7 linked regions of the Canis lupus familiaris genome follow. The protein of the gene in region 3 interacts with the protein of the main gene of each other region in a pairwise test. Links are inferred from orthologs where the notes say so. Each region holds a gene or a part of one and is shown on either strand. Other genes may lie near its edges. The genes, in order: ILF2, IMP3, CCNDBP1, C12H6orf226, NANOS2, pre-mRNA-splicing factor SYF2 and PIAS2.

Evidence for each region.
Region 1: the proteins of CCNDBP1 (region 3) and ILF2 interact in a two-hybrid assay, tested with the Homo sapiens proteins (2 studies listed by BioGRID and IntAct). The two-hybrid records come from large-scale screens. The link is inferred for Canis lupus familiaris from reciprocal best matches to the Homo sapiens genes CCNDBP1 and ILF2.
Region 2: the proteins of CCNDBP1 (region 3) and IMP3 interact in binary tests that used the Homo sapiens proteins (3 or more experiments, as listed by UniProt). The two-hybrid records come from large-scale screens. The link is inferred for Canis lupus familiaris from reciprocal best matches to the Homo sapiens genes CCNDBP1 and IMP3.
Region 4: the proteins of CCNDBP1 (region 3) and C12H6orf226 interact in binary tests that used the Homo sapiens proteins (3 or more experiments, as listed by UniProt). The two-hybrid records come from large-scale screens. The link is inferred for Canis lupus familiaris from reciprocal best matches to the Homo sapiens genes CCNDBP1 and PEX39.
Region 5: the proteins of CCNDBP1 (region 3) and NANOS2 interact in binary tests that used the Homo sapiens proteins (3 or more experiments, as listed by UniProt). The two-hybrid records come from large-scale screens. The link is inferred for Canis lupus familiaris from reciprocal best matches to the Homo sapiens genes CCNDBP1 and NANOS2.
Region 6: the proteins of CCNDBP1 (region 3) and pre-mRNA-splicing factor SYF2 interact in binary tests that used the Homo sapiens proteins (3 or more experiments, as listed by UniProt). The link is inferred for Canis lupus familiaris from reciprocal best matches to the Homo sapiens genes CCNDBP1 and SYF2.
Region 7: the proteins of CCNDBP1 (region 3) and PIAS2 interact in binary tests that used the Homo sapiens proteins (3 or more experiments, as listed by UniProt). The two-hybrid records come from large-scale screens. The link is inferred for Canis lupus familiaris from reciprocal best matches to the Homo sapiens genes CCNDBP1 and PIAS2.

What each region holds. Positions count from the first base shown.
Region 1 is NC_049228.1:43,390,544-43,394,680, reverse strand, and holds the start of ILF2 (interleukin enhancer-binding factor 2), read right to left. Parts: upstream 2,801-4,137; 5' UTR 2,692-2,800; coding exon 2,687-2,691; intron 2,449-2,686; coding exon 2,389-2,448; intron 2,297-2,388; coding exon 2,254-2,296; intron 1,914-2,253; coding exon 1,809-1,913; intron 1,531-1,808; coding exon 1,453-1,530; intron 505-1,452; coding exon 402-504; intron 1-401. UniProt on the Homo sapiens protein: Chromatin-interacting protein that forms a stable heterodimer with interleukin enhancer-binding factor 3/ILF3 and plays a role in several biological processes including transcription, innate immunity or cell growth.
Region 2 is NC_049251.1:38,869,876-38,872,602, reverse strand, and holds IMP3 (U3 small nucleolar ribonucleoprotein protein IMP3), read left to right. Parts: upstream 1-1,358; 5' UTR 1,359-1,439; coding exon 1,440-1,994; 3' UTR 1,995-2,227; downstream 2,228-2,727. UniProt on the Homo sapiens protein: Component of the 60-80S U3 small nucleolar ribonucleoprotein (U3 snoRNP). Required for the early cleavages during pre-18S ribosomal RNA processing. Part of the small subunit (SSU) processome, first precursor of the small eukaryotic ribosomal subunit.
Region 3 is NC_049251.1:10,346,292-10,350,461, reverse strand, and holds the start of CCNDBP1 (cyclin-D1-binding protein 1), read right to left. Parts: upstream 2,801-4,170; 5' UTR 2,676-2,800; coding exon 2,567-2,675; intron 2,397-2,566; coding exon 2,337-2,396; intron 2,084-2,336; coding exon 2,004-2,083; intron 1-2,003. Other genes in the region: TMEM62 (transmembrane protein 62), read right to left, coding at 3,481-3,807. UniProt on the Homo sapiens protein: May negatively regulate cell cycle progression. May act at least in part via inhibition of the cyclin-D1/CDK4 complex, thereby preventing phosphorylation of RB1 and blocking E2F-dependent transcription.
Region 4 is NC_049233.1:11,640,537-11,642,927, reverse strand, and holds C12H6orf226 (uncharacterized protein C6orf226 homolog), read left to right. Parts: upstream 1-1,146; 5' UTR 1,147-1,272; coding exon 1,273-1,578; 3' UTR 1,579-1,891; downstream 1,892-2,391. UniProt on the Homo sapiens protein: May be a peroxin involved in the PTS2-mediated protein import pathway.
Region 5 is NC_049222.1:110,427,807-110,430,511, forward strand, and holds NANOS2 (nanos homolog 2), read left to right. Parts: upstream 1-1,137; 5' UTR 1,138-1,202; coding exon 1,203-1,619; 3' UTR 1,620-2,205; downstream 2,206-2,705. UniProt on the Homo sapiens protein: Plays a key role in the sexual differentiation of germ cells by promoting the male fate but suppressing the female fate. Represses the female fate pathways by suppressing meiosis, which in turn results in the promotion of the male fate.
Region 6 is NC_049223.1:73,953,760-73,958,017, forward strand, and holds the start of pre-mRNA-splicing factor SYF2, read left to right. Parts: upstream 1-1,458; 5' UTR 1,459-1,503; intron 1,504-4,258. Other genes in the region: pre-mRNA-splicing factor SYF2, read right to left, coding at 729-791, 980-1,141. UniProt on the Homo sapiens protein: Involved in pre-mRNA splicing as component of the spliceosome.
Region 7 is NC_049228.1:44,443,711-44,447,800, forward strand, and holds the start of PIAS2 (E3 SUMO-protein ligase PIAS2), read left to right. Parts: upstream 1-1,290; 5' UTR 1,291-1,399; coding exon 1,400-1,423; intron 1,424-1,816; exon of another isoform or gene 1,817-1,995; intron 1,996-4,090. UniProt on the Homo sapiens protein: Functions as an E3-type small ubiquitin-like modifier (SUMO) ligase, stabilizing the interaction between UBE2I and the substrate, and as a SUMO-tethering factor.

The sequences.
Region 1 (4,137 bases), on a different chromosome or scaffold from region 3:
CCTCCTAGACCCACACCCTTATTTTTTATAGTACGGTTTCTCATCAATGGCACAAATGCCACTTGGGGCTGGATAATTCTTTGAGGGCTGAAGGGCAGAATATGTCCTATGCACTGTAGGATGCTTAGCATCATCCCTGATCTCTAATTCCTTTATTGCCAGTAGCCCAAACTGTGTCTAGACACTGCCAAATAGTCCATGGAAGAAAAAAATCACCAATTGAGAAACACTACCCTTTAGTAACAGCCATACATTCTTTCAGACACACAGTCCAGACCTTGTCCCTTATTACCCCAACACACGTTAAAAAATGACCTTTCTCACAAGAAATTTGGGCTTTGAAGACACCTATGCCTCAAACTCAACTTTCTGCTCCTGTGGCCAGAAAGAGATGCACTCACATGTTGGCAGAATCTTTAGGATTACCACCAGGTCAGCCACATTGTGTCCTGTAGTCATTGTTCCTTTTTTATAGGATCCCACCTGTCGCACTTCTTCAATTTGCTGTTGGAAAAGGGATTGGGAGATGCAGAAGTGAAAAAGACTATCTAGAGGGGCCTGGGTGGCTCAGTCAGTTAAATGTCTGAGTCTGACTTTGGCTCCAGTAGTGGTCTTGGGGTCCTGGGATCAGTCAGGCTCCCGGCTCAGCAGGGATTCTGCTTGTCCCTCTTCCTTTGCCCCCCCCCCCGCCCAATCCACACGTGCTTACTCTCAAATAAGTAATAAAACCTTAAAATTAATAAAGGACTGCCTAGTTCTTCTCAGAACTCAATTACAACACAATTATTACCCAGGTTTATTTTATTTTTTTTAAATGTTTATTTATTTATGATAGTCACAGAGAGAGAAAGAGACACAGGCAGAGGGAGAAGCAGGCTCCATGCACCGGAAGCCCGATGTGGGATTCGATCCCGGGTCTCCAGGATCGCGCCCTGGGCCAAAGGCAGGCGCCAAACCCCTGCGCCACCCAGGGATCCCATTACCCAGGTTTAGAAGTAGCAGAAGTCAAATCATAAAATAACCACATGGAGATGCCTGGGTGGCTCAGTGGTTTAGCCTCTGCCTGTGGCTCAGGGCAAGATCCCAGGGTCCTAGGATCCAGTCTCACATCAGGCTCCCTGCAGGGACCCTGCTTCTCCCTCTGCCTGTGTCTCTGCCTCTCTCTCTCTCTCTCTGATTGATAGATAGATAAATAAAATCTTTAAAATAATCTATCAACCGATCAATCAATCTACCCCATGAAGAGCCTAATACACGGCTAGCTGATAACACTGATACAAGTCTTGTCCCCAAGATCACCACCACAAAGGGATCCCACTGTACTTTCCTTCCCATCTTAGGCTTGGCTTTGGCGAATAAGTAACTGAAGACTTAAGAGACAGGAGGAGCGAAGGAAACACTACCCACACCACTAAGGCTGCCCTTTCCAATGATTAAATCACTAAAACTCACCACTTCGAATGTCCCTGGAGCCACAATCAAATTGTCAATCACATTGTTGATTTTTGTCACCAGAGAAAGGATAGATGCCTGAAAAACAGCAGGAAACAAAGATACCCTAAAGTGAAAAATTATAAGCAACTTCTCAGAGTTGGGGTATTTTTCCATAACTTTTTGACCTAAAGACGCATCCCTGAATAAAAACATAAATGCACATGGAATCTGTTGATATAATCTTGTGACACTCTCCCTGTACCCACAGTGAGAAATGAGATCAGCTGAGCCTCTGCGGAGTATAGGCTCTGGTAACAGCAACCTGGGTGGGAGGTTTTTAGAGAAATCTCAGGGAGAAAGCCCAAGAAGTAGACCTGTTCAGCAGAATTAGGAGCAAGGTCCTGATTCCTCTTCAGCAAGGCCTCACTGAACGAAGTTTCGTCAGGCGCTGGCTTGACCCGGGGGAAAGCCATCTCACACTAAGGCACAAAGAAACGACATGCTATTTACAAAAAATACTTGTTTTTACTCGTTAAGGTACTCAAACCAGAGTACTTGCTGGAAGGACCAGCCATCGTTTAAGTTCTCATTGCGCTACAGAAACAGATACACCAAAGAGGGCATTCATCATCCAGAGCAGAGACCACAGTCCTGTTAGCGCCCACAGGAGCCCCGTGAGCACACGGGCTTTGCAGGCGACCCGAAACCCTGCTGCTTCCTGCCGGCCCGAGCTCCCCGTGAACCCCGCGCACCCGCGGCGAGGCACGGGGTTCCAGGGCACTCGAGGTCAACGAGGGTCAAAAGGAGCTAGTTACTCACCAGATAGAAATCAAATGGAATATGTGGCACAAACGGCCGGAACCTGAAAGAGGAAAAGGGATCCCCGTTACTCCTCAGCCAACTCTCACCGCGAGCGGTGCCTCTGGCTGGCGGGCACTGGGGACCGGCACTCACCCGCCTCCTGGGCCTCCTCGGGACCCGAAGCGCCCGCCGCGCCCTCGTCCTCGGTCACCCCTAGGAAGGCAGACATTCCCGGAGGTCTTCGCTGCGTCCAAGGCACCGCCACCGCGCCGAGCTCCCCGCTCCCAGGGCCCGGGCTCCAACCGCGCGTCCGGGGGACGTACACCCCGGGATTCCCGGAGCCGTCGCCCCAGGTCAAGGCCAGTCCGCCCGCCGCCCGGCCCCCGGCCCCCGGCCTGCCCAATCCTCGGCCCCTGGGCTCCGCCCGCCGCCTTCCCGCCCCGGCCCTTACCTCATGGCGCCCTAAGCCCCGAACAATGGAAGCCACCCTAACCGCCCCTCGCCTCGGAGGAGCAGACACCAGAGACGCGGCTGGCCGGAGCGTCCCAACAAACTCTGGCCCGATTGGCCCCCGCTCTACGCCGCCGCTAACGCCCATTGGCTTATTTTCGCAGACCGGCCTGCAAGCCAATAAGAAGCGCCTGCTGTGTCAGAAATTAGCCAATAAGAACAGATTTCACAGTAACAACCTTTTTTTTTTTTTTTAAGGCAGGCACTAGGTGGCGCGGTGCAAAAATGACTGGACAGAGCTTCGTCTAGGATGCTGAGAGGCTAACGACACCAGTAGCAGAGTGGCGCAGCGGAAGCGTGCTGGGCCCATAACCCAGAGGTCGATGGATCGAAACCATCCTCTGCTATAAGGTGTTACATCTTTTCCTTGGGTGCTGCACGTACTTTTAGTGCTTATAATCACCTTTTCCTCCCTCAAAAATGCAGCCTTTAGAACCGTTTTTGCCAAAATGCAGTGAAGGGGATGGGAAGGGACTTCAGGCAACGCTACACGCCTGGGCGGGGCTCACCGAAGGCGGGAACCTGAGGCAAGAGAAGCTGATCAGACTCCTATCAGACGGAAAGCCCTGATGACAACGGGTTAGACTAGAGGAGAAACCGAGGCAGCCTTTGAAAGACCCTTCAGGGGCACCTGGGTGGCTCAAGGTGTGATGTCGGGGGTCCTTATATGTATTCCCGCATCAAGCTCCTTGCCTGGAGCCTGCTTCTCCCTCTGCCTGTGTCTCTGCCTCTCTCTGTGTGTCTCTCATGAATAAATAAAATCTTAAAAAAAAAAAAAAAAAAGTTCAGAAAAAGCGCTGAGGGGAGGCTGCAGAGGAGGAGGAACCCGAGTCGCCTGGGGAAGGTCTCGCTCCCCCAGGTTCCCCTCCCTCCGCGACCCCCAGGGCACCTGCCCCCCACCCCCGCCAGGTGGCTCCGAGCGCGCATAGGCAGGCGCTCTTTCTCCCGCCCCCGAGTCGCGGGCAGCCGGTCCCTCCCGGGTCCTTTCTCTCCGGCTTCTCCCCTTCTGCACCGGATACGTTTACTTCACTGCCCGCACGTTTTCTACTTTCAGCAGAGATTTGCGGTCTGTGTGCTTCCCCGCTGGTGGACAGTGTAGGGAGGACTCCGCTGCAGCCCCAGGGTCACACGCGGTGGCTGCTGGGTCACCCACTCAGAGACGGCCAAGCAACATGCAGCACCGCAAGCTTTTCCTCTACTTTAACTGAGTGATGGGCTCCGCCGCGCAACCATCACCCAGGTGAGGACAAAGGACTTGTGTCTGCGCTCCTGACCCTCTGCCCGCCCGACGGGCCACCCCAACTCCGATTTCTGTGAGCACAGGTTGGCTGCGTCTGTTCTCAACTTCACAGGAATGTCTGTACTTTCTGTCCAGTTTCTCTTGCTTGACAC
Region 2 (2,727 bases), about 29 Mb from region 3:
CCTCTGGCTGGAGAAGTGGCCGGAGTAGGTCGATGGAAGTGGTCCTGGTGACATTTTTCTTAAGCTGGCTGTTGGGTTCCTAAGTATCCTCATTATACTTTGTAACTTAACATGTATAACTTACACTGACATGTATCATTTCCCACATAGTAAGTATCGTACTTAAAAGGACAATGAAACTCCCGTACAAAACTAAAAATGATCAGCGAGGAAGCTAGATGGCGTCAAAGGCCCAGGCAAACAGACCGGTTTCGTGTATGTGACTTACAGACCGAAGGAGCCGAAGAGCGTTGAATGTATTCAGCTCGGTGCCGGGTGACCAGAAGTCCACCCGGTCGGGCTAATTCGAGTGAGCTCGGGGTGTGTACTTGAATCCAGGTGTCTCGGACCTGCTAGGTTCGATGAGTCACCTGGCACATCTGCTAATACAGCTTTCGGGGAGGCCTCTGTGAGGGCGAGGAAGCGGCCGGGCAGTCGGGGTTCCTGCAGGCTCGCCAGCGTCGGGCCCCCCTAGACCGGGCGGCGCCGGGAAGCTCCCAGCAGCTGGAGCACCGCGGCCACCGGGAGCACCGGGAGGACCGCGACCGCCGGGAGCATCGGGAGCATCGCGACGACCGGGAGGACTGCGAGCACCGGGAGCATCGCGGCCGCCGGGAGCATCGAAGCCACCGGGAGGACCGGGAGGACCGCGGCCGCCGGGAGCATCGCGGCCACCGGGAGCATCGCGGCCACCGGGAGGACCGCGACCGCCGGGAGCATCGCAGCCACCGCGAGCACGGGGAGGACCGGCGGCCGCCAGGAGCATCGAGGCCACCGGGAGGACCGGGAGGACCGCGGCCGCCGGGAGCATCAAGGCCACCGGGAGGACCGCGACCGCCGGGAGCATCGCGGCCACCGAGAGCACCGGGAGGACTGCGACCGCCGGGAGCACCGGAGGACCGTGACACCGGGAGCACCGCGACCGCCGGGAGCACCGAGAGCACCGGGAGCGCCGCGCAGCCCGCCGAACCAGCACAGCCGGCACCTGTCTCCGCCCGGCCTGACCTCAGCTTCCCGGAGCGGACTCACCTGGGAGACTCTAACAGGCATAAGTCTGAGTGGGACTGAACGACTGCTGCACTGGGGATACAGTCCTCGTGACTGAACACCACGAGGAGGTTTAAAACAACAACAAGAAAAAGGTCTAAAGGAAGAGCACCTGCCCGGGCCGCGGCCGCGCCAGCCGCCCCACCGCCAGCACCTCGGCCCTACTTCCGGCAACGCGGGAAGCAACGCGAGATAGTGACGTGGCTGGCGGGGGCGTGGCTCCGGCCTGACCAATGGGGGCGGAGGGCGTGGCCCGAGGCCGTCCTCTCATTGGGCCGGCCTGGGCGGAAGTCGCGCGGGCGCTCGGCGGCGCGGTCGAGGCGTCGGCTTTGGAGGCCCCGGGAGCCGCCATCATGGTGCGGAAGCTGAAGTTCCACGAGCAGAAGCTGCTGAAGCAGGTGGACTTCCTGAACTGGGAGGCCACCGACCACAACCTGCACGAGCTGCGCGTGCTGCGGCGGTACCGGCTGCAGCGGCGGGAGGACTACACGCGCTACAACCAGCTGAGCCGGGCGGTGCGCGAGCTGGCGCGGCGTCTGCGCGACCTCCCCGAGCGAGACCCGTTCCGCGTGCGCGCCTCGGCCGCGCTGCTGGACAAGCTGTACGCCCTCGGCCTGGTGCCCACGCGCGGCTCGCTCGCGCTCTGCGACTCGGTCACCGCCTCGGCCTTCTGCCGCCGCCGCCTGCCCACCGTGCTGCTGAAGCTGCGCATGGCGCAGCACCTCCAGGCCGCCGTGGCCTTCGTGGAGCAGGGCCACGTGCGCGTGGGCCCCGACGTGGTCACCGACCCCGCCTTCCTCGTCACGCGCAGCATGGAGGACTTCGTCACCTGGGTGGACTCGTCCCGGATCCGGCGCCACGTGCTGGAGTACAACGAGGAGCGCGACGACTTCGACCTGGAGGCCTAGCGCCGTCCCTCCCCGGGGCGCCGCCCGCCGACGCCTTCCCGTTGCTCGACCCCTTTTGATTCGAGTACTCGCTCTTGTTCGGGGTTAAGCGGCGCACGGACCCTGGAGAATTCGAGCTCGAGTTTGCACAGATGCGGGGCGAGGGCGGGCATGGGTTAGTGCGCTGTGCGCCCTCGCGCGCGGAGAGGAGCCGTCCCAATGCCAGTAAAGGGGCCAGCCGCTCGGAGCGTGCACCTTTGTGTCTGTCTGGCTTTCTCGTACGGGCTCACATCTGGGTTCACATCTGGGCTCCTGGGCTCGAGAACCCAGTAGGGAAGAGCGGAGTTAGCGACCTGCCCGTGAGCGAGGCCGGCCCCCGGGGTGGGGGGTGGGGGGTGGGGAGGGCGCCTGCGGAGGTTGCGGCAGATTCGTCAGGGCACTAATCCCTTGCTCGGAATGACTGTCTTGGCCGAGCTCTTCCCCACAGGACTTCCTGTGGATATTCCAGCCCCAGGAAGTAACCGTGTTAGAGGGCTGCAGTGTTTGCTCTTGGCTCGCCCAAGGAAATAATCACCCTGTAGCTTGGCCAGCTAGCGGTTAGAAGTGGCCCAGGGGGTTCCTGGAAGCATGTTCTTCGCGGTGGGGAACTGGAGAAGGGGGAGGTTACCTCTTTTTACCCAAGACTTAGACGAGGAGACTAAGTATAGAGTGCCAAGACTTATGCATTTGCTAGAGAAATACGGGAAGGGGACAC
Region 3 (4,170 bases):
CTAACAGAATCACAATATACCTAAAGGTAATTAACATAGAACCTATATTGCTCAATGTTGGCTATTTTCCTTCCAAGTAGTCACTGGCTTTCTCCTATCTTCCTTGTCCTCACTTTCCTGCTAAATTCTAAGCCAGTGCTATGTAAAATGTGGTCCACAGATTGGTGCCAGTCTATGAACAGTTACCAGTCTAGGATGGAAGATAAGTACAGTGATTGAGAGTAACTGCTTAAAACTGTTTATGACAATGTAACTTTGTTTCAACATCCAAAAACATTAAAACAAACAAACAAACAAAACAAACCATTTTTCAGTAGACTAACATGCTAAGATCCTAAGAAAGCAAATGGGATTCAAATACATATAACTCAAATAAAACTAAAACTTTTCACCTATGAGTGAACCCACTGTCCTGAGCATGTACAGAAAAATAATTCTATGCTGCTCCTCATAGTGTCCTACTAGCTGTGAATTTTAGCAACAAGTCCTAAGTATATTTGAAAGAAAGGATCAACAGATAAAAATAAGGTAATATTACTCCTTTTGAAATAAATATTGACTTTCTTAAGCAAAGCTTTTAAAATGCTCTCTAACAATTCATTTCTTATTTTCTTATCACAGTTCTCTGGGACCTATGCGGGGGGAGGGGGTAGGGAGAGCTTATTGTAGGTGCAGCAAAAGAATATTTTTTCCATTTTAAAACATCTGGATATATAGATTGAAAAAAGAATCAAACCACTGATTATTAAAACCAAATAAGGCAATGAATATGCCATTTTTAAAATAATCTTACTCTCAAATTAAGTATACCTAGTTCTGGAAAAATAGCATAAAGCATAGTCATAGCCAACATGTTTATTTTCATCAATTTTATAATAACTGGTTATTTAAAAATGCATAAATTCAGGGTGACTGGGTGGCTCAGTTGGTTAAGCATCTGCCTTCAACTAGGGTCATGATCTCGGGGTCCTGGGATCTGGGCCAGAATGGGGCTCCCTGCTCAGTGGGGAGTCTGCTTCTCCCTCTCCCTCTGCCCCTCCCCACCACTTGTGCTCTCTCTCAAATAAATCAATAAAATCTTTAAAAATAAATAAAAATAAAAATGCATAAATTCTTGTTCCATCAATTCCACTTCTGATATATACAAAGATTGTCTTAGGCAATTTACACAGCACTGTTTATAATAGTTACAAGTTGGAAAGAGCTTTAATGTCCACATAAAGTATCATTAAACAAATTATAGTTATATACACTCTATTGAATACCATGCAGCATTACAAAGAACTGAGCAACTTCATATGTGCTGCTAAGAATCAATGTGCAAGCCATGTTGTTAATTGTTTTTTAAAGGAAGGTCCAGAAAAGTGTTTATAGTTTATAGTATCCTATCATTTGTGTAAAAAAGAAGCGGGCATATACACATGAGTGTGTATGTGCATCGAATATATATGGAATAATACAAAAGTAACTGGGGAGGAGAAATATAAATTTTTTAGCACACTTAACTTTGACATCTTCTGAATTTTATATTGTATATATATGTTACTGATTAAATATAAAAAGCAATTCAATACAAAAAGGATATTATGTAGCATAACAGAAAAGGTGTCGTTTAGACATCATGGGCCCTAATTTAAATGCTAGTTCCACTCTTATTTACCTTAACCTGAGCCTCTAAGCCCGCTTACTCATCTGTCAGGTGGGAATTACGTATGTGAAAACACTTAGCAAATAGCGAGTGTTAAAAAAAATATTTATCAGAAAGGAAATAACCAGGATGAACTGCAGATTGAACCAATACCTATTTGAATGACCTGAGCACGGCATGCCAGGGGCTGACTGCCCTTGGCAACCTCGCACCCCTGCGAGGTGAGAACCGCAATCTTACTTGACAGGTGTGGAAAATTAACCCCCTGGCTTCAGTGTAAAGGGTGGAAAGAAAACGACTGGATCCCTAATGAACAACGAGGCAAGCACAAGGATTCCAGGAAAGTAAAGCCCACCTGCGGAGAGGGCAGTGGAACTCGAGAGAAGACTTCAGTCAGGGTCGTGGCTTCCCTCGACACGTTCTCTGCTGCCCGGTCTGAGGGATGACAGAGGGGAGGGGCCGTGTTGTCAGCGCCAAAAGGAGAAGCCTGCAGCTGCTGCATGGACTTTGGAGATGTCAGCCTCAAAAACACCTCCCCGGATCAGTGTTTCATATCCCAACCTCCGAAGTGCAAAGGACTGAGAGGATGCGGCGGGGGGAGGGGAGGGGGGGAAAGCGGGAGGGAAAGGGGTCGTCAGTACCCTGGAAGGGATGAGAAACAGAAGTCCCCAACAGGACAGGCACTCACTGAGTCTCCTCCAAAACGTCTCAGCATTAAACTCCTTGGTGGTCTCCCGGGCTTCGCCAACTGTAGCCGGTGTAGCATGTGGACCGGGGGTGGCAAAAGGAAGAGCACAGGTAAGCGGAGCCACCCCGGCCCGGCCCCGCCCCCGCCCCCGCCCCCGCCGGCGCCCCCGCCGGCCTCTTCCCTAGCCGAGCCCGCCCCTGCCGTCACCAGCCCCCAAGGCGTCAGCTCACCCCGCACGCCAGGCAGGAGCAACCGCAGCTCCACTGCCAAGCGCCGGATCTGCTCCAAAGGCGGATCTAGGGTGGGGACTGCGGCTGTAGGTGCGGCTGTGCTCGCCATCTCAGGAGATCGCCTGGAACCTCCGGACGAGAGCGGCCGAGGCGGCTGCCAGGGCCGCAGGGCAGCGGGCGCTCCGCTTCCGGCAGCCTCAGGTCCGGGTTCGTTTCCGGCAACAACTCGCCCGGCCCCGCCCCGGGGCCCCAGCCACGCCCGTTCTCAGCGTCCGAGGCCGGGCCACGCCTCTCTTCGTCGCTGGGGGTTCCGGCCACGCCCCCTCCGACTCCCGAAGCCTGGCCCCGCCCCCGAGGGTCCCGGCCTCGCCTCCTCCCGCCCACAGATGCAAGGCCCAGTCAGAGTTCTTATTCATCATTCATTTATTTGATTAGCTGAAAGCACCCCACCTAAAGAAGCAGAGAACCCAGTACCCTGAGGGAAAAGTAGACCTGAGCTAATTATCTCAAGGGTAGTCAAGGTAGGGCCCAAGTTCACAAAGCTTCCCTGCCCCCAACGTGGCACCCTTGTGGGCTGCTGAATTCCACATACTGTGCTAGGTACTTTACACGAGGTAACCATAAAAAATACTCCCATACACACACCCAGTCCCTCACCTGTGGATCTCCTGATTAGGACTTTCTCTGAACAAAAGTAAATCAATCCTTTGCCTTCTTGGAGAAGGAAGGAATCATGGCATTATTTAGAGATTTTTCTGCAGTCCATTCTGTAGGAATCAGTAGTGGGTAATCCCACTCAACTCCCAGGTGTCCAGGGTGCAGCAGCTCCCTGAAGCTTGCCCACCATCACTGGCCTTCCACCTGCTGCTGGGGCAGAGGCCTGGGCCAAAGAGGTGGATGGTGAGACAAGGCCTTCAGGAGCTCAGGTGGCTTTTTAACTGTGCCACAAAGGTTCCAAGCTCAGTAGAGTTCAGAGTCCACACACTATGAATGATAACAGGTGTCAACAGTGTCAACCAGGTCCGCAAAGGGGAGAAGAAGAAAGCTAAAGTGCCATATGTCATATGAAGAAAGTAGCAGGAATAAATCTGCCAGATGTATAGCAGTAACATAAGTAGGTGAACAGGTATAATTTTCAAGTATTTTCCTTGATGGAGATGAGACCGGAAGTTGTGACCACAGCACCGCTGCAGCAAGCTCCAACACAGGTAAGCCATCAAGGGTATGTTAAAAAATACCAGCTGGAAAGAGAAGCAGAACAGAACCATTAGCTTATTAGTAAGACTTTAGAGGGTCAGGTCTCATTAACATATTATTGGCGGCTCCTAAAAATATGCTGCTCTGTCTCGGGGGTTAACTCTTTGATTCTTTATGCTTCAATCACACTTGCTTATAACACTCACAAGAGGTGACTTATAGTTAGTTGTGAATTTGCCTGAGTCCTTTAGTTCATCTTAAAAGTAGGTATCATTTATGTTGAGGCCCTCATTAATGTGTAAGGTAGAAATAAATTGAATATATGTATATACACACACACACACACACACACACACACACTTCTTTTTGGCAGAGTGAAGGGGGGACTTAGGTATCAATAATTTTTT
Region 4 (2,391 bases), on a different chromosome or scaffold from region 3:
GTCTGTAGACATCGGTGTGCAGGAAACTCAGTGGATAAGGGTGGAGAGAGGATCTGGTGGGGTCACAGAAGACAGTCAGCACAGTCAACCATCTGATCAGAATTTTAATAACTGTCTTTGTGGGCATCCCAAGACATTTATGACATTGACATTTATAAAGACATTTGTAGAATGTCTCTCACTCTAAGGTCTGTTCATTTCCTCCAGATGAGATTCAGAGTGAACCTTCTGGGCAGGAGTACCACAGAAGAGATGTAGTCTTCCCACGTCCATTGTGTCCTCAGTGCATCACATCAGGAGACACATGGTGCCCGTTTGTTCTGTTAATAGTAATTAGACTGAAAAAAAGTAATTAGACCTTGATTACAGGATGAAGAAGGCAGTGCTTGCCAGATCCGGCCAACTTTCAATAAACTTAGAAACCTGAGAATAATCGGCACTGACTTTCCAGAGAGCCAGAGGGACTGTAGCACACCTGGTCTGCTTTCATCTTTTCTCATCCTCTTTGAAAATACCAGGCACAGAGTCTTGTTGGCAGGAAAAGGGGAGAGTGGCGAAGCTCCGCCGTCACTTAACTCCCACTGGAAGTCTCTCCGCAGCTATTTTCTGTGTGGAGCTGCGGAGTCAGGCCAGGCTCGGAGATGATCCCCTGGCCGTCTGTCTCTACACGTGCCCTGCAGGTACACACTTACACACAAGTGTGAAAATCGGTATGGACTGGGGTGCCTGGCTGGCTAAGTCTGAGGGGCACGCGACTTTCCATCTCGGGGTCCTGAATTCGAGCCCTAAGAGATTACTGAAAAGAAAAGAAAGAAGAAAAAAGAAGAGAAAGGAAAAGAGGTTTGTAGGAGGAGCCTATGCCCCTGTGCCAAATTGGGTCTTTTTGCCAGCATCATGATCATGCGTGGCCCGTTCTGTGCCAGTCTTGGAGTTCCTTCTAAAGCACTGCACGGGGGCAGCCCCCGGTGGCTCAGCGGTTCAGCGCCGCCTTCAGCTCAGGGTGTGATCCTGGAGTCCCGGGATCGAGTCCCACGTCGTCGGGCTTCCTGCATGGAGCCTGCTTCTCCCTCTGCCCGTGTCTCTACCTCTCTCTCTCTCTGAATTAAAAAAAAAAAAAAAAAAAAAAAAAAAACTTAAAAAAAAGCACTGCCACGTTGCAGGCTCCGGTGTGGGCTAGTTTTCCGTGTGCGTGGAGCTGGTCGCGGCTCTCAAGTGCTCCCCCCTTTCTGGGCCGGCTTGGTACGCTCCACGAACCCCCCCCCATTGCCTCCGATGGTGGTTGCACCCACCGCCCCGGAAGCGTTTCGCGCTGCTGCGGGTGAGGCGGCGCAGCGGCGCATGGAGCCGTCGGGCCGTCGGAGCGGCCTGGGCTGCGGCCCGGCGCCCGCGGAGTCGGCCTCGGCATCCGTGAGCCTGGCGCAGCTCGTGCAGCTGGTCCAGCAGGGCCGGGAGCTCCCTGGCCTGGAGATGCGCCACATCGCGGCGACCCACGGCGAGCCCACGGCGTCGCAGCTCCCGCGGAGGCCCAAGCCCTGGGAGGCCGCGGGGTCGGCCGAGGCCGCCGCATCGCCGCCCTAGACCCCGGGTCCCGGGAGACGAGCCGCGTGGACGGGTCCTGCTCGGCGGAGGCGGGATTGCGCCCTCTCGATGGCCCGCAGTGGGTTCCTGAGGCTCCATGTCCTTTACCTCTTGGACCCGGAAGGCGGGGCTGTGCCCTGCGTTACCTCGGACCCCGGATACTGGCCTCGGCTTTTCATCCTTTGTGCATTCGCCCGGACTCATCTCGGCTGGACTTAAGCCTCCTGGGAGTATAATCGGGGTTGTCTGTATCCGTATTTCTGAAGCATGATCCTCATTAAATTTTTAAAATACCCAGTTTCAGCCCTTAAAATTGACAAATCTCATACTTCACTGTCCCCGATGCATAGATATTTTGATTTTAAAAAAATGATTTTATTTATTAGCACGAGCAGGGGAGGGGCAGGGGGAGAGGAAGCAGCAGACTCCTCAATGGGCAGGGAGCCCGGGGTGGGGGGGGGGGGGGGGGGGGGCGGGAGGCTCTATCCCAGGACCTGAGATCACGACCTCAGCAGAGGTCAGATACTTGACCGAGCCTTTCAGGAACCTTTTTTTTTCTTCTTTCGTTTTATGAGAGAGGTAGAGACATAGGCAGAGGGAGAAGCAAGCTCCCCTCGGGAAGCCCAATGTGGGGGGGGCGGGGGGACTCTATCCTGGATCCCAGGATCACGCCCTGAGCCAAGAGCAGAAGCTCAAGCCCTGAGCCACCCAGGCGTCCCGATGTGTTTTCCTTCTTACAATGCTACTGAAGAGGCACACAGAATTTTATTAGTAATGGAAACGAATTCGGGATCCAAATGGTGTTGATTTTAG
Region 5 (2,705 bases), on a different chromosome or scaffold from region 3:
AGAATTCCTGGAGGTGATGTGGGCAAGAGGCAAGGCTTTTCTTAGCTGCCAACCTCAGATAGGATTTGGGACAATGCACAGAGCCATGGTGGAGCACTCTAAGTGAGACTGTGCCATGCCATGGGCCTCTGCTACCTCTAAGATCAATTCCCAGCATTTCTAGAGTGAAAATGAGTGCAAATTCCAACTGTGCCATCTCCCTCCTGAGTGAACTTAAGTACATTCTTTAACCTCTCTGAACCTCATATTCTTCTCTATAAAATGTGAGTGATTATGCCCACCTCCCTGAGTGGTTATGAGGCTCAAGTCATGTTCATAGATCTCACGTATAAAACATTGAACACCGAAGTGTGCGCTCAAAAAGTATCTGTCGAATAGAGGGCTCCCAGTTCAGGACCTGGGTCAGAGTCCCAGCTCCGTGGCTTGCATGCTCTGTGACTCCAGGCCAGCGAGTTTCCCTCTCTGAGCTTCAGGTAACTCAGTCTATCCTGTGGGGCTCTTAACTGTGTTTCCCGCATAGATGTTGTGAGAGTGAGATCAGATCACACAGGTGCAGCACAGTAGGGCTCCTGGTAAGGACCTGTCATTATTATCCGGAATGTAGGGCGCCTGGGTGGCTCAGTGGTTGAGGGACTGCCTTCTGCTCAGGGTGTGATCCCGGGGTCCTGGGATCGAGTTACGCATAGGGCTCTCTACAGGGAGCATGCTTCTTCCCCTGCCTACTGCTCTGCCTCTCTCTCTCTCTCTCTGTGTGTGTGTGTGATGAATAAATGAATAAAACCTTATTATTAGGAATGGTTCTGGGGTATAGGGCAGCCCCCAGCCTTGGGGTAAATGAGGATGGGGAGCGAGGGGGCATTTGCACACATGGAACTTTATGGAATGGATAGGGAAATTGAGGCCCAGGGAAAGGAAGGGTCTTTCCAGAAGTCACAGGGTAGCCTGGAAGCAGAGCAAGGACCAGAGACAAGGGGAAGGGCCTCCTTCCGATCTCCATGGGGGATTACAGTCAGATGGGGATCCTGGGCAGGGAGTGGGCCCTTTAAATCTTAAGCTCCACCTTTGTTTAGAAGGGTCTTTGGGGGAGTATAAAAGGGGGTGCAGTTCCTCTCTGCTCCAGAAAAGCACCTGCTGCTCCTGCCCACTGGCCCCAGAGCCCTGGCCTTCTTCCTCTAGCCACCCACCACCTCCGCCTGGGAGCCATGCAGCTGCCAGCCTTCGACATGTGGAAGGACTACTTTAACCTGAGCAAGGTGGTGTTGGCACTGATCCAGAGTGGGGGGCAAAGGCCAGAGGCCCAAGGGAATGGGGAGCCGAGACCTGGGCCCCAGCTGGGGCAGGATCAGGGTGTGGGAGGGCCGGGGGCCAGCCGAAGCCTGGCCACCCTGTGCAATTTCTGCAAGCACAATGGGGAATCGCGCCACGTCTACTCCTCACACCAGCTGAAGACCCCAGAGGGTGTGGTGGTGTGCCCCATCCTGCGGCATTATGTGTGTCCCTTGTGCGGGGCCACCGGCGGCCAGGCTCACACGCTCAAGTACTGTCCGCTCAACGGCGGCCAGCAGTCTCTGTACCGCCGCAGTGGCCGCAATTCAGCTGGCCGCAAGGTCAAGCGCTGAGGATCAGGAGGTGCCTACCCCCCTTCTACCCCCAACCCTCCTGGTTTGGTCCCTGCCTAGTCTCTGGACCCTCCCCCTGACTCACCCAGCCCTTTGGAACTTCTGGCTCCCAGAGCTACATCCCTGCGGGATCCTGAAACAACAGGCTGCTGGGGAGCCCCGCCAGCTCTGCCCCCCGGGGCCTCTCAGGCCTGGAGCTCTGTCCTGGGGGTGTCTGTGGATTCTTGGTGAGGCAGGACTGCTGCCCTCTGGACTGCAAGGCCTGGTGGCTCCTTCTGGACCACCGTTTGTGGATCTTTAGTCTTTCTGGGGGCCAGTGTCACCAGCAGCCCCATGATCCCATTCCTGGTGGACTTCTTGGATTATTGGACCTAGAGGACCCAGCGTGCTCTCCCAGGCCCAGCCTAAGAACTTGGAGAGAGTGAACGAGACTGGCTTGGACACTCTAGCCCAAGAACATCAAGATGTGATTCTGACTTGAGACCAGCTTTGTCCACCTGCTTCAGCCACCACATGTGAACTCATGGTTTCACCGTGGACTTCCCTGGATTGTTCCTTCCCAGCCCGGGCAGCCCATCCACCGGGAGCTGGGGACAGGAGGAGGCATGCGGCAGGAGGCAGGGAAGGGGGGGGGGCGAAGGGGGGGACCTTGTCTTGGAAGGCTTATCTGGGAGTGGAGAGCTTGGGGTGCGCTGCTGACATCCTTCAACTCCCCCTGGTAGACCTTGTTGTTCATTCTGTTTCACTGCACTCCCGCCCCCAACACCCCCAACCGCAAATCACCAATGGGTGTTTCCCACAGCCGGAGGGCGGGCAGCTCTCCACTGCCTCCCACCCACCTTTCAAGGTAGTTTGCTAAAAGTCTTTTTTCTTTCTCCCAGTTTTCTTTTTCATTTTTTTTTCGTCCTCCAACATTTAATCAATGAAGCTCCGACAAGAAAGGGGTTTTAGTGCCCAGATGGGAAAGGCAACTGCCTAGATTTTATTTTAGGGGCAAGGAAAAGAAAGAGCCCCGGTCAGATTTTTAAGTTGCTCCGTTTTTGGCTCAGGGCTGGGCCCTGGGTGTTCAGCACTAGTGAATAAAGA
Region 6 (4,258 bases), on a different chromosome or scaffold from region 3:
GAGTCGTGTTGTGGTGTAATTACCGGTTCTGGACCTGAGGCAGGGGCCTTACTGTATTGACCGCTGCATCCACACTAACTGGCTGGGGTACACTAGGAGCTTGGCGGGAAGTGGGGAGGAGGGTGTTGGGATGAGTGAGTGAGTGGCCAACTTGCTGTGTGACAACAGACACATTCCCTTCCACTTCTGGCCCGCAGTATCCCCCTCCATAAAAAGAAGGGTTTGATAGAATCACTAGAGCTGAGCGTGTGGGGAGAGCTTGCATTAAAACAAAACAAAACAAAACAAAACAAAACCAGTATCTGGGTCCAGGAAATTATTAAATCAGACATTCTAAAAGTGAGGCCTAAGCACGAGCATTTTTAAAAAGTTCTGGAGTGGGGGGATCCCCGGGTGGCTCAGCGGTTCAGCGCTTGCCTTCGGCCCAGGGCGTGATCCCGGGGTCCTGGGATCGAGTCCCGCGTCGGGCTCCCCGCATGGAGCCTGCTTCTCCCTCTGCCTGTGTCTCTGCCTCTCTCCTTGTGTCTCTCATGAATAAAAATCTTAAAAAAAAAAAAAAAAAAATCAACTCTGGAGGGATTCCAGCGTGCTACTGGGGCGGAAACCACCGGGAAAGACCTTTCTTCAGCTCCGGGGTCGGTCAGGCGCGCAGGTGCGGCTCGGTGGTCCCTCCCGCGTCGCGCCCGCCGCCGGGGGCACAGGTCTCCGCGGCCCCGCGGGCTACTCACCCGCTTCAGGTGCAGCCTCTGTTCGCGCCTCTGCTCTCCGCCCTCCGCGCTGTTCGCCGGCACCTGGGCAAGGAGCACCGGCTGGAGTCGGGGCGGCCCCGCCGGGTCGAGCCCTCAGCGCCGGCCCGACCCCACGCGTGTGTGCCTCCCTCCCTGGCGCCGCCTCCACGTCTAGCCAAGCCCGTAGCCGCAGGCGCCCCTACCCCATCCCCTGGGCGAAGCCCGCCACCTTCTCATTCCCAGACTCAGACCCAGCCGCCATCACCCGGCAGCGCCCGATCCCTCTGACTTCGGCGACAAATAACTTTCCCGACTGGGCGGTAGCCACAGGTATCCGGGAGAAAACCCCGCCCCTTTCTGCTTCTCCCGGAGACAAGGGACCAATCCCCGCCCGTCGCAGCCCTGGGCCGCATCCGATTGGTCCAGGGCTGTGCGCAGGCGCGTTGAGTAGAGACACCTGGGCGGCGCGGGTAAAACCAGAGACCTGGAGTCAGCGCTCTTGGGACCAAGAGGAGGAAAAAACCCACCGAATGTGTGGAAATGCAACCCAAAGCTCAAGATGTGCTCATCATCTGACCAACCTTGTAGTTCAGATTTCTGAATTCAAATCCAGGGTAGATTCACAGTTACCATCACGTCATCCTGTTTTTGTTTGTTTGTTTGTTTACTTCATCCTGTTTTAATCCCCGCTTAGTTTATTGTCGCCCTGCTCAGGTCAACGTGAGCTCCAAGAGGCACAGCGGATTCCTGTGGCCCGAACGGTACCTGGTGTAGGGTATGAACTAATTTCATACTGTTGAGTGAAAGAAGGAACAAATTGGTTGGGGGCTATTTGGTATCTTGAGTATCTTCGTGATGCAGAGGATTTGGATTAATTTGAGGCTTTGACTTTCTTTGGAAAATTCTGCACAGAACAGCATTCTTCATGTATCTGTTCACTCATTCAATAATGAACTGTATGATCGTTCTTATTTGTTTGCTAACTAGTCTGCTCTTTGGTTCATCATCTATGAAAAAGAAATAATAAAGCAATACCTATGTAACAGAGTAGTTTGGGGATAAATTAGATAATATGGGTGAAGTATCTGTGACTAGTACCTGACCCATAGCAAATGATGAGTTATTGCTGACTTTTACCAGTTGGCATTAGATGTCCCCCCCTCTCCTGCCTGAGATTTTATTAAATGTCTTTCCTCAGGGAAGCCTTAACCTCCACTGCCTGAAGGGTCACTTGCCTGTTATAGCTCATTCATACTTTCTTCTTTGTTACATTTACATAAGTGTAATTAAACAAGTGTGGAATTGCTTTGTTTAATGCCGCTGATTTAAATGAGGCAAGTTTCTAAACCACTATTAATATAGCAAATCAGGATCCCTGGGTGGTGCAGCGGTTTAGCGCCTGCCTTTGGCCCAGGGAGCGATCCTGGAGACCCGGGATCGAATCCCACGTCGGGCTCCCGGTGCATGGAGCCTGCTTCTTCCCTCTGCCTATGTCTCTGCCTCTCTCTCTCTCTCTGTGACTATCATAAATAAATAAAAAAAATGCAGCAAATCTAGGCCTTTATTGTTTTCTGTATCATGGATGAATTGATAGAGGAGTCTTACATGTATTTATATTCTTTAGGAATACAGAAATGTCCATGACATAATTATTTTCAGAAAGATCACACTGGAATTACAGGTTCTACAAAACATTTTGTCAGAGCCCTACAAACTGAAGTCAAATAATTAAGGAGAGTTTAATGAAGTGATTGTTTACAAAGTTGTGGCCTGGGTTAAGAGAAACCAGCAAAAGAAAGTGAAGCATTCTTCACTAGAAGGCTAGCAGCAGGGAAAAGCCATTGCTACCCCTAATCTTTTTTTTTTAATTTTTATTTATTTATGATAGTCACAAACAGAGAGAGAGAGAGAAGCAGGCTCCATAGTCACACACACACAGAGAGAGAGAGAGAGAGGCAGAGGCTCCATGCACCGGGAGCCCGATGTGGGATTCAATCCCAGGTCTCCAGGATCGCGCCCTGGGCCAAAGGCAGGTGCTAAACCGCTGTGCCACCCAGGGATCCCTGTTACCCCTAATCTTAAAGAGGTAAGGGAAGGATAGGGTAGGAGAGGGTCTTCAGGCAGAGGCTGTAACTAAAGAAATCGACCAACCCATAATCCAGGCAGGGAATAAATATCCTGATCCCATTTCTCCCAGATTTCTTATCTTCTGTAAGTGCCGCTAATTGGAAGGATCTAATGAGGAGAGAGTAATAAACAAGAGAGCTTATTGATGCAATACATACGGGCCAGCACTTGTGGGTGCAGAACAGAGTGGACACTGGTGGAAGGTGGTTCTAAAGGAGCAAACAACATATCTAACACAATTCTTTTCATGGGACATGGTAACAATTTCATAATTTTTTGAAATTTTAGAAGAGCTCTTTGTTCAAGTTATATTTACATAGATTTAGTAACAAAGAACAGAACAAGTTGTGTGGCCAACTGAATTTTCCAAGATGATAGAAGATCTTCCATCCTACGTGCTGTTCTTACAATGTGACATTGGCATACCTCCTAAGGAGAGATAAGATCTATGTCCCTAATCCTTGAATATGTGACTACGGAGGAAGTGACATGATGTGACTTCTGAGGCTAAGTCATAAAAGGGGTAACAGATTCCATCTGGTTCTCCTGGGATGTTTGTTTTTTGAACCCAGTCACCATTCTTTGAGGAAGCCCAGGCCAGATGGACAGGTCATGTAGGACTGAAAATTGGTACAACCCTTAGGGAGGGTAGTTTGGCAATATGTATAAAAATTACAGAGGCATTTTCTTTTTGACTTAACTGTTACACTTCTCAGAATTTATCCTACAGGTGCAATTGGACAGGTATAAAATGACTTATGTACAAGGATTGCTTCCTCCTATGATTTAGTAAAGATGACATGATTGCAGATTCATTGGGTGAGAATATACAATAATTTTTGCTGGCTGTCATGTAAAGCTTGTTGGGTAAATTTAGTAAAGCTTCAGTATACATCTTGGCCAACAGAGGGAACAAAGACAGTGGGATGAATTCTCCCTTACCCCCAGGGAAAGCCCTAGGGTGCAATGATCTAACATCCAGGTAGAAGTCATGACCAATGATCTGTGCCACATAACCACTGAGTTCCACTCAGGGCTGCTTAGTAAACATATGGACAATGTAACCAATCAGTTTCCTTCAATATAACAGAATGCTTCCAAAGTTCTAGATATCCATCCCACATCTTGGGTGCAGTTGGGTTGGTTATGTTTAGAGTGATTTTGTTATTGTTCCCAACAACATAGGGGTGCCTGGGTGTTCAAATGTCCATACTGGGGTAAGCAACATACACCCATCCCAAATCTGAGTATAGCCACCCATGGTTCTGACAGTCATATTTTTTTATTCTTTTGGCTAACAAATTGGTGGGCTGTCTGCATGGTTTGGTTAACAGAAAAAGAATACTTATGTCCTGTGTCATTAATAGTATGTGCTATAGGCCAGGCTTCTGGATCAGAGTTAC
Region 7 (4,090 bases), on a different chromosome or scaffold from region 3:
GGGACAGCGCTGAGAGCCGTGCAGTCAAACCTACCAACCCGACAGCTAATACTACAAACAACTCTCGGTGAGGCCATGCCTTCTCTTAATTTCGTGTTCATGTTGGTCCCTTGTATGCGTTGTAAACTTCTCGGCGGAAGGCTTGTATTCTATTCACCTTTCTCTTCCTTCAAAGCACCTAGTTCACGGTGACCTTCACTTAATGGCTGTTGAACAATGTTAAACTCCAGTGAGGTGTAAACCAAGGCCAAAGGAGGATAAACACTAAAATCAAGAAGCAGCCAGGCGAAGACCACGAAGTTAATGGTAGAGAGCCAGCGTCAGAAATCACTCTAGTTGCTGTTCATTCATTCTTTTACTCATTAAACAAACGGGGAATGGGAAGAGGCAGTAGGCAGGCACCAGAGTACACAGGGCTCTGCAGATGGTATCAAGGGTTTTAAAGTTCTCCCCGTGGGTGGGTTTCACCCACCTCTTCAGGGAAATCTGAACCCCGGGCTTGGTCCAGTGAATTTTCCGAGCAGCTTGACTCAGCATCTTCTCTCATCCTTATCAGCACGTCGCCGGTGCCACCGCGCTTCGCTTCCATCTATTTTGCCCTTGGCATTTCATCTCGCCCGGCTATCTGATTTCCCCGACCCCTCGACTTTTTAAAAAACCGGGGATCTTTGGGAGTACTCTTCTTTCGCTCTCTTATTTCACCTTTCCCCAGGTCCCGCCGCTCCACCCTCTCGCGCCTGCAGCCCGTGACATTCAGGCGCCCTTCAAAGCCAAGGCATCAGCCAGGTTAGTACTCGGAGGGCAGAACCCACGCGGCGAGGGCTCGGCCGGCGCGCACCTGAGATCGCAAGGGCGGCTTGGGCAGCGCCACGCTGAGGCTGGTCCGCCGCCGCTTTGGGGGGCGGTTTTCCTGGCGGCTGCTTCCCGTCGGCTACAAGGGCACCGCTAGGATTTTCCCGAAACGTCGCTGCCGGGAGCCCCGGCCACGTCTCCCCCGCCTCCGCCGCTCCCCGGCCGGGGTCCTCGTCCCAGGGGCGGAGCGGAGGAGGGCACGGCCGCGGGCGCGGCGCCGGAAGGCGTGCGGGGGGCCGGCGGGCGGCGGGAGCGGGCCGCGGGCCCGGGCGGAAGACGTGGGCGGAAGGCGGTGGGCCGGGTGGGCGCGGGGGGCGGGGCCGCGCGCGCCGGGGGCGGAGCTCCCGCGCCGGTCACGTGACAGGCCCGGCGGCGGCGGCGGCGGCGGCGGCAGCGGCGGCGGCGGCGGCCGCGGCGTCTTTAGCGGCGCCCAGTGCAGGATGGTGCTGGAGGCGGCGGCGGCGGCCGTGGTGGCGGCGGCGTCGTTGGCGGCAGCGGGAGGGGGTGCTGTGGCGGCAGCGGCGGCGGCGCCCGCGGGTGGTGTAAAATGGCGGATTTCGAGGAGTTGAGGGTAAGCGGGGGCGCGGGAGTGGAGAGTGGAGGCCGCGGGGGAGGGGAGGGGAGGCGAGGCGAGGCGAGGCGAGGCGGGGGAGCCGCAGCGTCGCTCGGCCGCCAGCTTCTTGTTTCGCGGGGACCGGCTGGCGGAGTGCGAGCGGGGCGCCCGGCGGGCGGGGGAGGGGAGCCGGGCGGCGGAGGGCGGCTGGGCCGCGCGGGGGCGGCGGCGGGCCGGGCCCGGAGCGGCGGGTGGGCCGGGCCCGGGGGGCGGGGGTGGGGGGCACACCTGGCGCGGGGCGCGCGGGGCGCGCGGGGCGGGGGGCGCGGGGGCGCCGCCGCCGCCGCCGCCGGGAGGGTCTCGCGGGCGCCCGACGGCCTGGTGTCCGGGCTGCGGCGGGACGCGGGGTCCGCCCGTCCGCCTTGGGGGCCGCTCCGAAGTCCGCGTGGTACTCACTTGCCGGGAGACTGTTTTCGGCGACGCCGAGGGGCGTTCAGGAGTCCTCCGCCTCTGCTCTCGGGGCTGGTGCTGCCGTTCCGTGAGACCGCGGTTCGGCTCGACCTCACACTTGGTGTTTTCTTACTGCCCTGGTAAGACGCTCGCAGAGGCCGAGGGGCCGTGAGCTTGGCTTGTGAACTCGGCTCGCGCGGGGGGGAACCTTTTGCTTCCTGGCCTTAGGACAAGGTCACAACTTTATTGTTGGTATCTTTGTAGTCGGGGTTTGAAAACGGGTGTGCTGGGGGGTACAGAGGAAAAGATATCCCGCCCCCCTTCCCCGGGGCTGGTAACCTTCAGAGTCCTCAGCTGAAACTGAACTGTGATAAACGGACGGGATTGATTCGTTATTATTATTATTATTATTATTATTATTATTATTTATTATTTATGGATCGCTGAATTACTGGCGACAGAAATGGAATACTTCAGGACGGAAACCGTGATTTAAAAAAAAAAAAAAAAGCCGAAGTAGAGCTGAATGCGAACTTGAAATTAACTGCAGTCCTTTTGCATAATAGACTACGATGTAAGGGTTACTTTTTGGGAATAAGGAGGAGGAGGAATCCGGTCAAAGATTCAGTTTTGTATGTTTGTGGTCCCTCCCCCCCCCCCCTCCGCGAGGGATGGAGTCGGAAGGATGTTGTCTGCTTACCTGGCTGGTACGATGGACATCAGCAAAAGAACCTATTGGTGTAACGATCTAAAGGGAGGGCGTGTTATAGTTTGCATAATACCTGCCATTTTCCCTTCTGTCGTTTCAAAACGAATTACTTAATTCCTAGTAAAAAGTACATGAATGCATTTTCTTTATATTAGTTTATAGTGCCTCTACATTAGTTTATACGGAGAACCATAGTAGCGGCCAAAGGGTATTCATGTTGGTAAGTGTAGGAGTTTTAACACCTGTGGAGCTTTTGAAACAACCAGGTCTGAGCCTCAGCTGTGTAAATGAATGCATTAGGTTGAGGATTGGTTAAGGAGACAAGTTGGAAGGTCAAAAAATTTTTTTACATGCAGTGTCCTAATTTTTGCGCAGTAACATATATATACAAGTGATCGTCTTCTAGGATTTTTTTTTGTTGATGAAAGTTTTTCCAAGACTTGCATTAGACTTTTATAAATGTTGTTTGTCAAAGCTTAATAAAAAGGGGAGGATTTATTTGCAAGTATAGGGCAGAAAGAGCAGTCAGTGCTGAAGTTCGAGTGGAGCCAGGATGGAAGCCAAAGATGCTTTTTTTCTCTTCGGGTTTACCTGTCCTTTCCCCCTTCTTGCTCCCCACTTTTATCCCCCCCCACCTCCTTTCCTCCTTTTCTCCCTCTCCATTTTCTTCCCTCTCCCCCACCTTGCCATCTACAATTTGTTTTGTAGATCAGCTTCATCATCTTTTTCAGCTGTCTTTGCTTCTTCCCACACTTGATGGAAGATGGCACCTCACTTAAGGTGCCTGGCAGAGTCTGGGGAGAATTTTCAGAGGACAAGAAGGGTGTGCAGATAGATGGTGGAAGAGTTATCCACACCAGTCTTTGCTTTAGTTGCTCAGCAGCATCTTCTACATTTAAAGATGAACTGTCTCCATGTCCTGTACCCATTTCAGTGGTGGTGGTGATGACGATGATGATAATAAATATCCATTATAATATCTCTGGTTATTACCTGCCTGGCTCTGGTCTAAGCACTTTACATACCTGTTTAATTCTTGCAATAATTGTAATAGAATTATTAGAAGAAATTGTCAGAAGAAACTGAGACCAGTTGAGTAGCCCAACATAGCTTGAGCTGGAAGACCTGGGATTTTTAACCTCAGATGTCAAGCTTTAGAGTCCACGCTCTTCAGAATCTGGGCTCTCCTGCTCTGTGCAATTTCCTTCAGGTCCACGTGGTGTTGCTAGCCATCAGCCTGCAATCTATGAACTAAATAGAATGACAGCCAGTGTCCTTCTTATGTGACATATAATACTGGAGGGGAAACAGGACAGCTGACTGAAAATCTAATTAGAAAAGAGGAAGAAACATGTAGGGCATTCTAAATGGTTGGTCTCTGCTTCAGAATATATTCTGTGGGGGTCAGAGAGTCCGGTAAATTAAAGGACCAGGGAAAACTGGCCAGCATTAGTTTGTTGGCTAACTTGGCAGTAGAGGAAATAGCTGACTTGGAAGTCACATATTTGGCTGCCCATACTATTGCT